2 linked regions of the Saccharomyces cerevisiae S288C genome follow. Changing the gene in region 1 together with any one later gene gives a genetic interaction. Each region holds a gene or a part of one and is shown on either strand. Other genes may lie near its edges.

What was found.
Region 2: mutations in YPK3 (region 1) and ELP4 together harm fitness more than expected from each alone (negative genetic interaction), as found in Saccharomyces cerevisiae (2 studies listed by BioGRID).

What each region holds. Positions count from the first base shown.
Region 1 is NC_001134.8:293,946-298,343, reverse strand, and holds YPK3 (putative protein kinase YPK3), read left to right. Parts: upstream 1-2,341; coding exon 2,342-3,919; downstream 3,920-4,398. Other genes in the region: RKM3 (protein-lysine N-methyltransferase), read right to left, coding at 1-52; CDS1 (phosphatidate cytidylyltransferase), read left to right, coding at 602-1,975; YBR027C (uncharacterized protein), read left to right, coding at 3,988-4,320; ETR1 (enoyl-[acyl-carrier-protein] reductase), read left to right, coding at 4,325-4,398. UniProt on the Saccharomyces cerevisiae protein: AGC kinase which plays a role in TOR complex 1 (TORC1) signaling pathway which mediates temporal control of cell growth in response to nutrients. Required for phosphorylation of ribosomal protein S6 (RPS6A/RPS6B) at 'Ser-232' and 'Ser-233'.
Region 2 is NC_001148.4:357,826-361,821, reverse strand, and holds ELP4 (Elongator subunit ELP4), read right to left. Parts: upstream 1,614-3,996; coding exon 243-1,613; downstream 1-242. Other genes in the region: FMP30 (N-acetylphosphatidylethanolamine-hydrolyzing phospholipase D), read left to right, coding at 2,416-3,822. UniProt on the Saccharomyces cerevisiae protein: Component of the elongator complex, a multiprotein complex which is required for multiple tRNA modifications, including mcm5U (5-methoxycarbonylmethyl uridine), mcm5s2U (5-methoxycarbonylmethyl-2-thiouridine), and ncm5U (5-carbamoylmethyl uridine).

The sequences.
Region 1 (4,398 bases):
TAGCAACAAACTTCAGAATCCGATGAACATCGTCCTTAAAAGTTACGGACATCTCACTCTTTCAAATTTATTTTTTAATTGCTATTATATATGGCAACAAATCTTTCTTATTGTATCTGCCACCTCATCTCAGCTGCCTTCATCGAGTATACTTCATTTGATTTTCTGATATTTATTGCTCGTTTTTCGCTATTTTGATGCAGTACATCTCAGAATTCAACGGAGAACGTGGATATATTAGGCACAAAGAATCATAAACAAACGCCCATGTAAATAACTATCAATACACTACTTTCTAAACCAATCTGCAGGAGCTCCACCTTGATCGCTTTGGCTTATTCCAGGCGTTTTCAGGCACTGTATATTGGTACTATATCGCTATGTATTTGACAGTCATTATCAACGGATACCCTTCTTGAAAATTTTTCAGATGGGATGACATGTGAAAAGTGTAACAATCGAGAACTGTAAACAGCATGGGGGAGCATTCATCAATATTGTTATTTAGTGTAAGCCAGATTGTGAAGACGCACTTCTTGCCAAGTATCTTCCCAAACAGCGAACCTGTCATACTTAACTGTTCCACTTCCATATACCTAAAATGTCTGACAACCCTGAGATGAAACCACATGGTACGAGCAAGGAGATTGTGGAGTCGGTTACTGACGCCACCTCAAAGGCGATTGATAAATTGCAAGAAGAACTCCACAAGGACGCCAGCGAATCCGTCACGCCGGTGACCAAGGAAAGCACTGCTGCTACAAAGGAAAGCAGGAAATACAACTTTTTCATTAGAACAGTTTGGACGTTTGTTATGATCAGTGGTTTCTTCATCACCTTAGCATCGGGTCATGCATGGTGTATAGTGCTGATTTTGGGCTGCCAAATTGCTACTTTTAAAGAGTGTATTGCCGTAACAAGTGCATCTGGTCGCGAAAAGAATTTGCCATTGACAAAGACGTTGAACTGGTACCTTCTCTTCACCACTATCTATTACTTAGATGGGAAATCACTCTTCAAGTTTTTCCAAGCTACTTTTTACGAGTATCCTGTATTGAACTTTATCGTAACAAATCATAAGTTTATCTGCTATTGTCTCTATCTTATGGGATTTGTTCTGTTCGTTTGTAGTTTAAGAAAGGGATTTTTGAAATTCCAGTTCGGATCATTGTGCGTTACTCATATGGTTCTTCTTCTGGTAGTATTTCAGGCTCATTTGATCATCAAAAACGTGCTCAATGGGCTATTCTGGTTCTTATTACCATGCGGGTTGGTAATTGTTAATGATATCTTCGCCTACCTGTGCGGCATTACATTCGGTAAGACTAAACTAATAGAAATCTCGCCCAAGAAAACTTTAGAAGGTTTCCTTGGTGCCTGGTTTTTCACTGCTCTAGCTAGTATTATATTAACAAGGATTCTGAGCCCTTATACTTACTTGACGTGCCCTGTTGAAGATCTCCATACCAATTTTTTCTCTAATTTGACATGTGAACTAAACCCAGTTTTCCTTCCACAAGTTTACAGACTTCCACCCATCTTTTTCGATAAAGTTCAAATCAATTCAATTACAGTAAAACCAATTTATTTCCATGCTTTAAACTTAGCTACCTTTGCATCATTATTTGCGCCATTTGGAGGCTTTTTCGCATCTGGTCTAAAGAGAACTTTTAAAGTTAAAGACTTTGGCCACTCCATCCCAGGCCATGGTGGTATCACAGACAGGGTTGATTGCCAATTCATAATGGGTTCTTTTGCCAATTTGTACTATGAAACATTCATCAGCGAACACAGAATAACAGTAGATACAGTTTTATCCACTATTTTAATGAACCTGAACGACAAGCAGATTATAGAATTGATTGATATCTTGATTAGATTCCTATCTAAAAAAGGTATAATATCAGCGAAGAATTTTGAAAAGTTGGCTGACATCTTTAATGTGACCAAGAAATCATTGACCAATCACTCTTGAATATAAAAAAGACCATATAAAAGTATATATGAGTGTATGAATAGTTTTTTTTTTTCAAACTTATGCACGCTATACTACTCTTTCCCTATTTAGTTTATGTAAATTATAAAATATGATATCAATTCTTTAACAAAATTTCTCGCTCGTTTTTATACTTATGACTATATGTAGGAAAATAAACGTGTTGCTCTGTCATGTTACTTCTAAAATATTGAGAGGAGAAAAAAAAAAAAAAAAAAAAAATTATAAACAAATGAAAAAAGGACGTACTGACTAATAGTAAGTAGATCTTTTACCTGGAAGGTGCCCTATGATAAGATTTTTCATCAACCAATCTAGCTGAGCATACTGTTGGCAGTAATTAGGATGATTTTCTCACTAGATGAAGAACTTCATCGTGTGTCACTAGATGATAAAAAGAATGACATTAAAGTAGATTATTCCTCGGCAATATACAATGATATCAATCATGAACAAGGCAGCTCCATCACATATGAGGAGAGTATAAATCACCTCTCGGTTCATTCAAATGCGATTCCGCTAAATGGCATGAGTCCTGCACATAGGATGAGAAGAAGGTCCTCAGCTTATTCCAAATTCCCTATTCTCACTCCACCAAATACGAGAAGATTTTCTATTACAGGTTCGGACGCAATGCGAACTAATACGAATAGACTATCCATAACACCTCAGGACATTATTTCCTCTAATATTGGAGAAAATGAATTATCAAGGAACCTGCACGATTTTAAGCCCGTGAGAGTCCTAGGCCAAGGTGCCTACGGTAAAGTTCTTCTTGTTAAGGACGTCAATACATCCAAGCTGTATGCTATGAAGCAATTACGGAAAGCAGAAATTTTAATTTCTCAAACAGCCACAGATTCCAAGAGAGAAGACGAAGATAAAAATGATGGTAATAACAACGATAATGACGATGGATTATCAAAGAGGCTTGAGAGAACATTTGCCGAACGGTCTATTCTATCTGAAATAGAACATCCAAACATTGTCAAGTTATTTTATTCTTTTCACGATAACTCAAAGTTATATTTACTGCTACAATATATCCCTGGCGGTGAACTATTTTACCACTTGAAGGAACACGGGACCCTAGATGAGACGACAGTTTCGTTTTACGCGGCAGAAATCAGCTGTGCCTTGAGATTTTTGCATACGAAAGGTGTTGTCTATAGAGATTTAAAACCTGAAAACTGTTTATTGAATCAACGTGGACATTTAGTATTGACAGATTTTGGTCTGAGTAAAAAAAGTGCTAATGATTCCGCGGTTGATGAGGAGGATCCAGAGAACGTCAATGCCCTATACTCGATTATCGGTACGCCTGAATACTGTGCGCCTGAAATATTATTAGGTAAAGCTTACAGTCAGAATTGTGATTGGTATTCTTTGGGATGTCTGTTGTATGACATGTTAGTAGGTAAGCCTCCATATACTGGTAGCAATCATAAGGTGATCATTAATAAGATTCAACAAAACAAGCAAGGCCCCAAAATTCCATTTTATCTGAGCGAGGGAATGAAAGATATATTAAACGCGCTGTTGAAGAAGGAAACTGCCAAAAGGTGGAATGTTGACAAATACTGGGCCAAAACCGGGGCTAATAATAAGCCTACTAAGTCTAAGAAGAAGAAATCAGGGGCTGCAAGAACTAGTCTTTTCACTGAACATTTTATCTTTAGAAAAATAGACTGGAAGTTATTAGAATCTGGACAATTGCAAAAAACCACTCTAGGCCCAATTGTTCCAGTTATTACGGATTTGGAACTAGCGGAAAATTTTGACACAGAATTTACTTCTATGTCATATGAGGAAACCTATACGGATAGCAAGCCGATTAATATCAATTCGGTGAGCAAGTCCCCGGATATGTTCAAGGGATTTAGTTATAAAGCAAGTGGTAGCTATTTGGAGAAGTACTTTTGAATTAAAAGTTAGATAGATTAAGAGAGAAGGCTCGGATCTGCACTGACTTACTTTTTTTTGTTTTTTTGATGTTTAAAGGATCTGTGTCACTGTATATACTTTGTTTTGCTTTAGGGTTACGAAACACATTTTTAATATATAATGTATGTAATAATATTAAAAACAACTGTATGGATAATACTTCTGGACCAATCGGTGATACCATCTTCCTTATTTATGGTATTATTATCATTATTGGACCCCGCCGGTGCTTTTTTTTTTACCTTAAAAGAGTGGTTCTCCTCCAAGGGACGCACGAGTGGTGTACCCAGGGGTTGTTTCCATGGCTAAAGAAATTGGAGATTACAAACGTACATTGTCATTTAAGAAGGTTCATAATCTGCCAATTACATTTGATATAACAAGATGCTTCCCACATTCAAACGTTACATGTCGTCCTCAGCTCATCAGATTCCCAAGCACTTCAAATCGCTCATCTA
Region 2 (3,996 bases), on another chromosome or scaffold:
GTTGGTCAAATTCTTTCTGCAGCTCACGCTCCTTTTTTGTTAATATTCATTTCACTTTTTCATATTTTGACATCTAGGCGATACCTTTTTCTACCTTCCAGCTGCCACCGCTTAGAGTCAGGAAAAAGACGATGGATATATATATAATAGTCGTATTTAAGATATAACAGATAAAAAAATAATACATTCACCACGCTTGTTAAAAAGCATGCCGTATATTTCCCATAAATTGAACCATATTCTTAATAGTCTAAAGATATCTTGGTCTTCTTTGCAGGTATATTATGTGAGATTTCATCCGAGTGCGAGTGTGAATGTGACTGTTCCGAGGCAGCTGAACCTTCAGCATCATCCACGGGTATGCCCCATTGTTCTATTTCAAACTTTTTTCTGCCATTCTTAAATGCCCATTCAGACTTTAAAACTCTCATCTCTCCACGGTCCGTGAAAACTGGTAATTTCAATATGTGGACTAGCCCATGTTGAATCTTCCCCGGTTGCGATTTATAAACACGTTCTAAGAACTCAGTCATCTCCTGGTTAAAGGGTTCTAGATTGATAACAGAATCGAACATGTTTCTCAGCAATACCAGTAATGGGGGAGTGATAATGTCTATGGATATGGAAGCAAACAGTACAACCCGCTCATAGTATTTCTTGACAAGACTCCTCACACCGTGCATTAAACCTATTATTTCAGATGATTCAAACATTTTGGGCGGATACATTGCCGGATGTAGAAGGGAAGGAATAACAATTCTTATCAGTTTCTTGTCATTCCTTTTAATAGTCTGTTCTATTTGGCTCAAAATAGTGGAGACAGGTTGAGTTGGGGCGATAAATGTCAGTTCAGATGCTATGGGAGCGGGCATCAGACGCGTTGTAATATCAAACTGATGATTGTAGTCCTTGTACTCAGAATTTTGTTGGATGTCATCTCGATCCGGAGAACCCAATCTCTTTTCATCTGCCAGTTTATATTTCCATGCAATTTTCAGGTCTTTGTACCTGGAAGGCGTCGATCTCTGGGTCTCGTTCAAATTTTGAACAGTAACTTTTGATTCTTCTTCAGAGATTAGGTTTTTCTTCATTTGTTTACGTGATCCCTTGTAGATACCAGGTAGCTCCTTTGCAAACATTTGGTTCAATGACAAGACAATGACATGAGTGTCGCCGTTTCTAGTTTTATCAGCACTGCTATCTGAAATTCTATTATGAACGATACCCTGTGCGGCAAACAGTTTACCGAGAATAGAGTGAAATTCTGTCGTGCTCTGCTCCTCTACTAGTACAGAGTTTCCCAGCGGCAGCCCCATATGGCCTAGTATACTGTCCAGGTCAGCACTCCCAGTTGATGTCGTCGGCTGAGAGGTTGCAGGAGAAGGTCTAACGCCCACATGGGAGCTATCCAGCCCCATTTTTGTCTTGGATTCGTCCGCAATATTCAACTTCTTTAATCTCGCTGTAGTGTCAGACAAGGGCACATTTCCAGGGGCTCTTCTGTTGCCTGTCCTCAATGGCGTTGAGGAAGTTCGTGGAGGACCTCTTAACAGTGGACCTCTTAGCCCGCTACCTCTATCGTTCAGTATTTCACCTCTTTTACGAAATGACATGGTACATGCGATATTTGGGAGCCGAATTTGTTATACAATGTTGTTCTCTGCACCTCATCTCTAAACTATCCAGCCTCATCGACATCTTCATATGTCGTTTTTGTTATTTTAACAGTTTAGAGTTCATTCCATGCGCTTTACCCGGTCTGGCGTCAAAAGCCATCAATAACATAGCTACTATTGCGTCTGAGAGAAGTCGACCATAGGGAAGAACTTGCCATCTGGTTTTGAGTTAGTTAGAATTATCACTATTGAAGATAGCCCAGCAAAATGCTTGTGCAAGAAAGCACATCGTCTAGTGGCCTTTTTTGAAGAAAGAATTGGAACTACTTTAGAAATACATTTACCACAGTGAGTATATGACACTGATATTCTCCTTGATTATCGCCCAAAATACATTGTAGGCTTCAAAAAGATTAAAATATCAATTAAAAGAGAGAGAATAAATAGGTTAAGGCCCAAATTACAATAGCGGCCTCCTATTTGTCTTTTCCATTCGATGCGATATTTATCAGTATTATATGAGAACAAATGGTGGTATTATAAAAAAAAAATATTATAATGAGATATATGTCTGATTTTAATAATAAACTTTTTAGCTAATGATTCCTTCTGCGTTCATTTTCTGAATATTATCAACAGCTGCTAGTTTTTTTTTTCCTTTACTGTCGTTAAGCAGTTCCCGAAGACTCACTACTGATGCTTAACAAAAAAAAAAAAACGTAGTTCGAGAATAGCGAGAATATGGTGTGAACAGTAGCACTCCAATTACTGAAGGATTGCATGCCTGCTTGTGTTGCAAATGAATTTTGTTACCTGCCATGTTCAGATGAGGCTTCTTCTCCAAAGGAGACTAGTGCGTTTACGAGAATCAGAGCTGTTTAGACCCCAGACATCATTGTCAACTTTCAAAAGACATGCTTCGCAAAAGACACGCCCTATACAAAAATGCTCGAGAAAATACGCACGTATACTTCTGTTGTCTGTTTTGGTACCTTACACAGGATATGCGTTTTATGTATCATTGGCTACAGTGAAGCAAATTGATTTAAGAAACGAAATGTGTCAAAGATTAGAGGAGAATAATAACGAGGTCACTTATAAGGGATCCTTGCTAAAATATAGCCCTTTGGAAGTTTTAGGCAGATTTGAGAACCCGTTCGAAGAATACAGGATTCAGACCGTTTTTGAATTCTTTGCAAATAGAGTGTTCGAATTATTTGAAAGAAATAGGGGAGGTATTCCACGTGATGTACACCAAATGAATAAGTTAATGCCTGTACACAAGCCAACATGGGGGCCTAACTTAGTGGACGTCGACCCCGCAGAGGAAACGGCATTGCCGCTAGAATGCAAAGTGTTAGACGAATTGCACATACCGACTGCAGTAGAAGAAAATGAAGGATCAAAGTGCCCAGTCTATAACACATGGCTGGGCCAGTCCTGTAACTACACGGTTTATAATGGATTGAGGATACTTACTGATCCTCTGTTCAGTGACTTTCTTATCCACAAGACCCTGGGTCCTAAAAGAATTACTCAAATGCCATCTCAAATTACAGAGGTGCCCAAACCAGATATCATCCTTGTATCCCATAATCACCCCGATCACCTGGATTTAGAAAGCTTGGAATACTGGAGTGGCAAAGACTCTCCCTTATGGATAGTACCTAAAGGAATGAAATCTTATATGACAAGTAACGGCTGTGATAATGTCCTAGAATTATCTTGGTGGGAAACTTTGCAAGTAAAGAAAAACAATGAGATATACCACATATCGGCTACTCCTGCCATGCATTGGTCTGGGAGATCGCTCTTAGATACGAACAAGTCTCTATGGTGCTCCTTTTTATTAACACACCATGGTAATCCCATACTTTTTCATGCTGGTGACACTGGATATGTGAAAGATTTATTCGTTAGAATTAAAGAACGCTTTGGCAAAGGTTGTAAATTAGCGCTGCTTCCATGTGGTCAGTATTGCCCTGAGTGGCACCAAAAACCACGACATATTAATCCTCAAGAGGTTCTCAAGATTATGAAAGATCTAGAAGCTCGAAATGTATTAGGCGTTCATTGGGGGACCTTTGTATTAAGCGGAGAATATTTCTTAGAGCCAAAGGAAAAATTAGAAATGTTGGCCGAGTGGGGTGGGTTTAAAGACCGCTGCTACTGTCCAGAATTGGGCAAGACAGAATGCTTCGACTAACTTAGGCGCTAATATTTAAGCTGCAGCGTCCCTGTAAATAGCGATAAATTACAGTAAACGTAGACTTTGGGAGATTGTACTCACTGAACATTTTATGATTTAATGATTTTGTAATTTAAAAACATTCGTATGATATCCAATAAGATGTTATAAAGAAATTACAATTAATGTTGA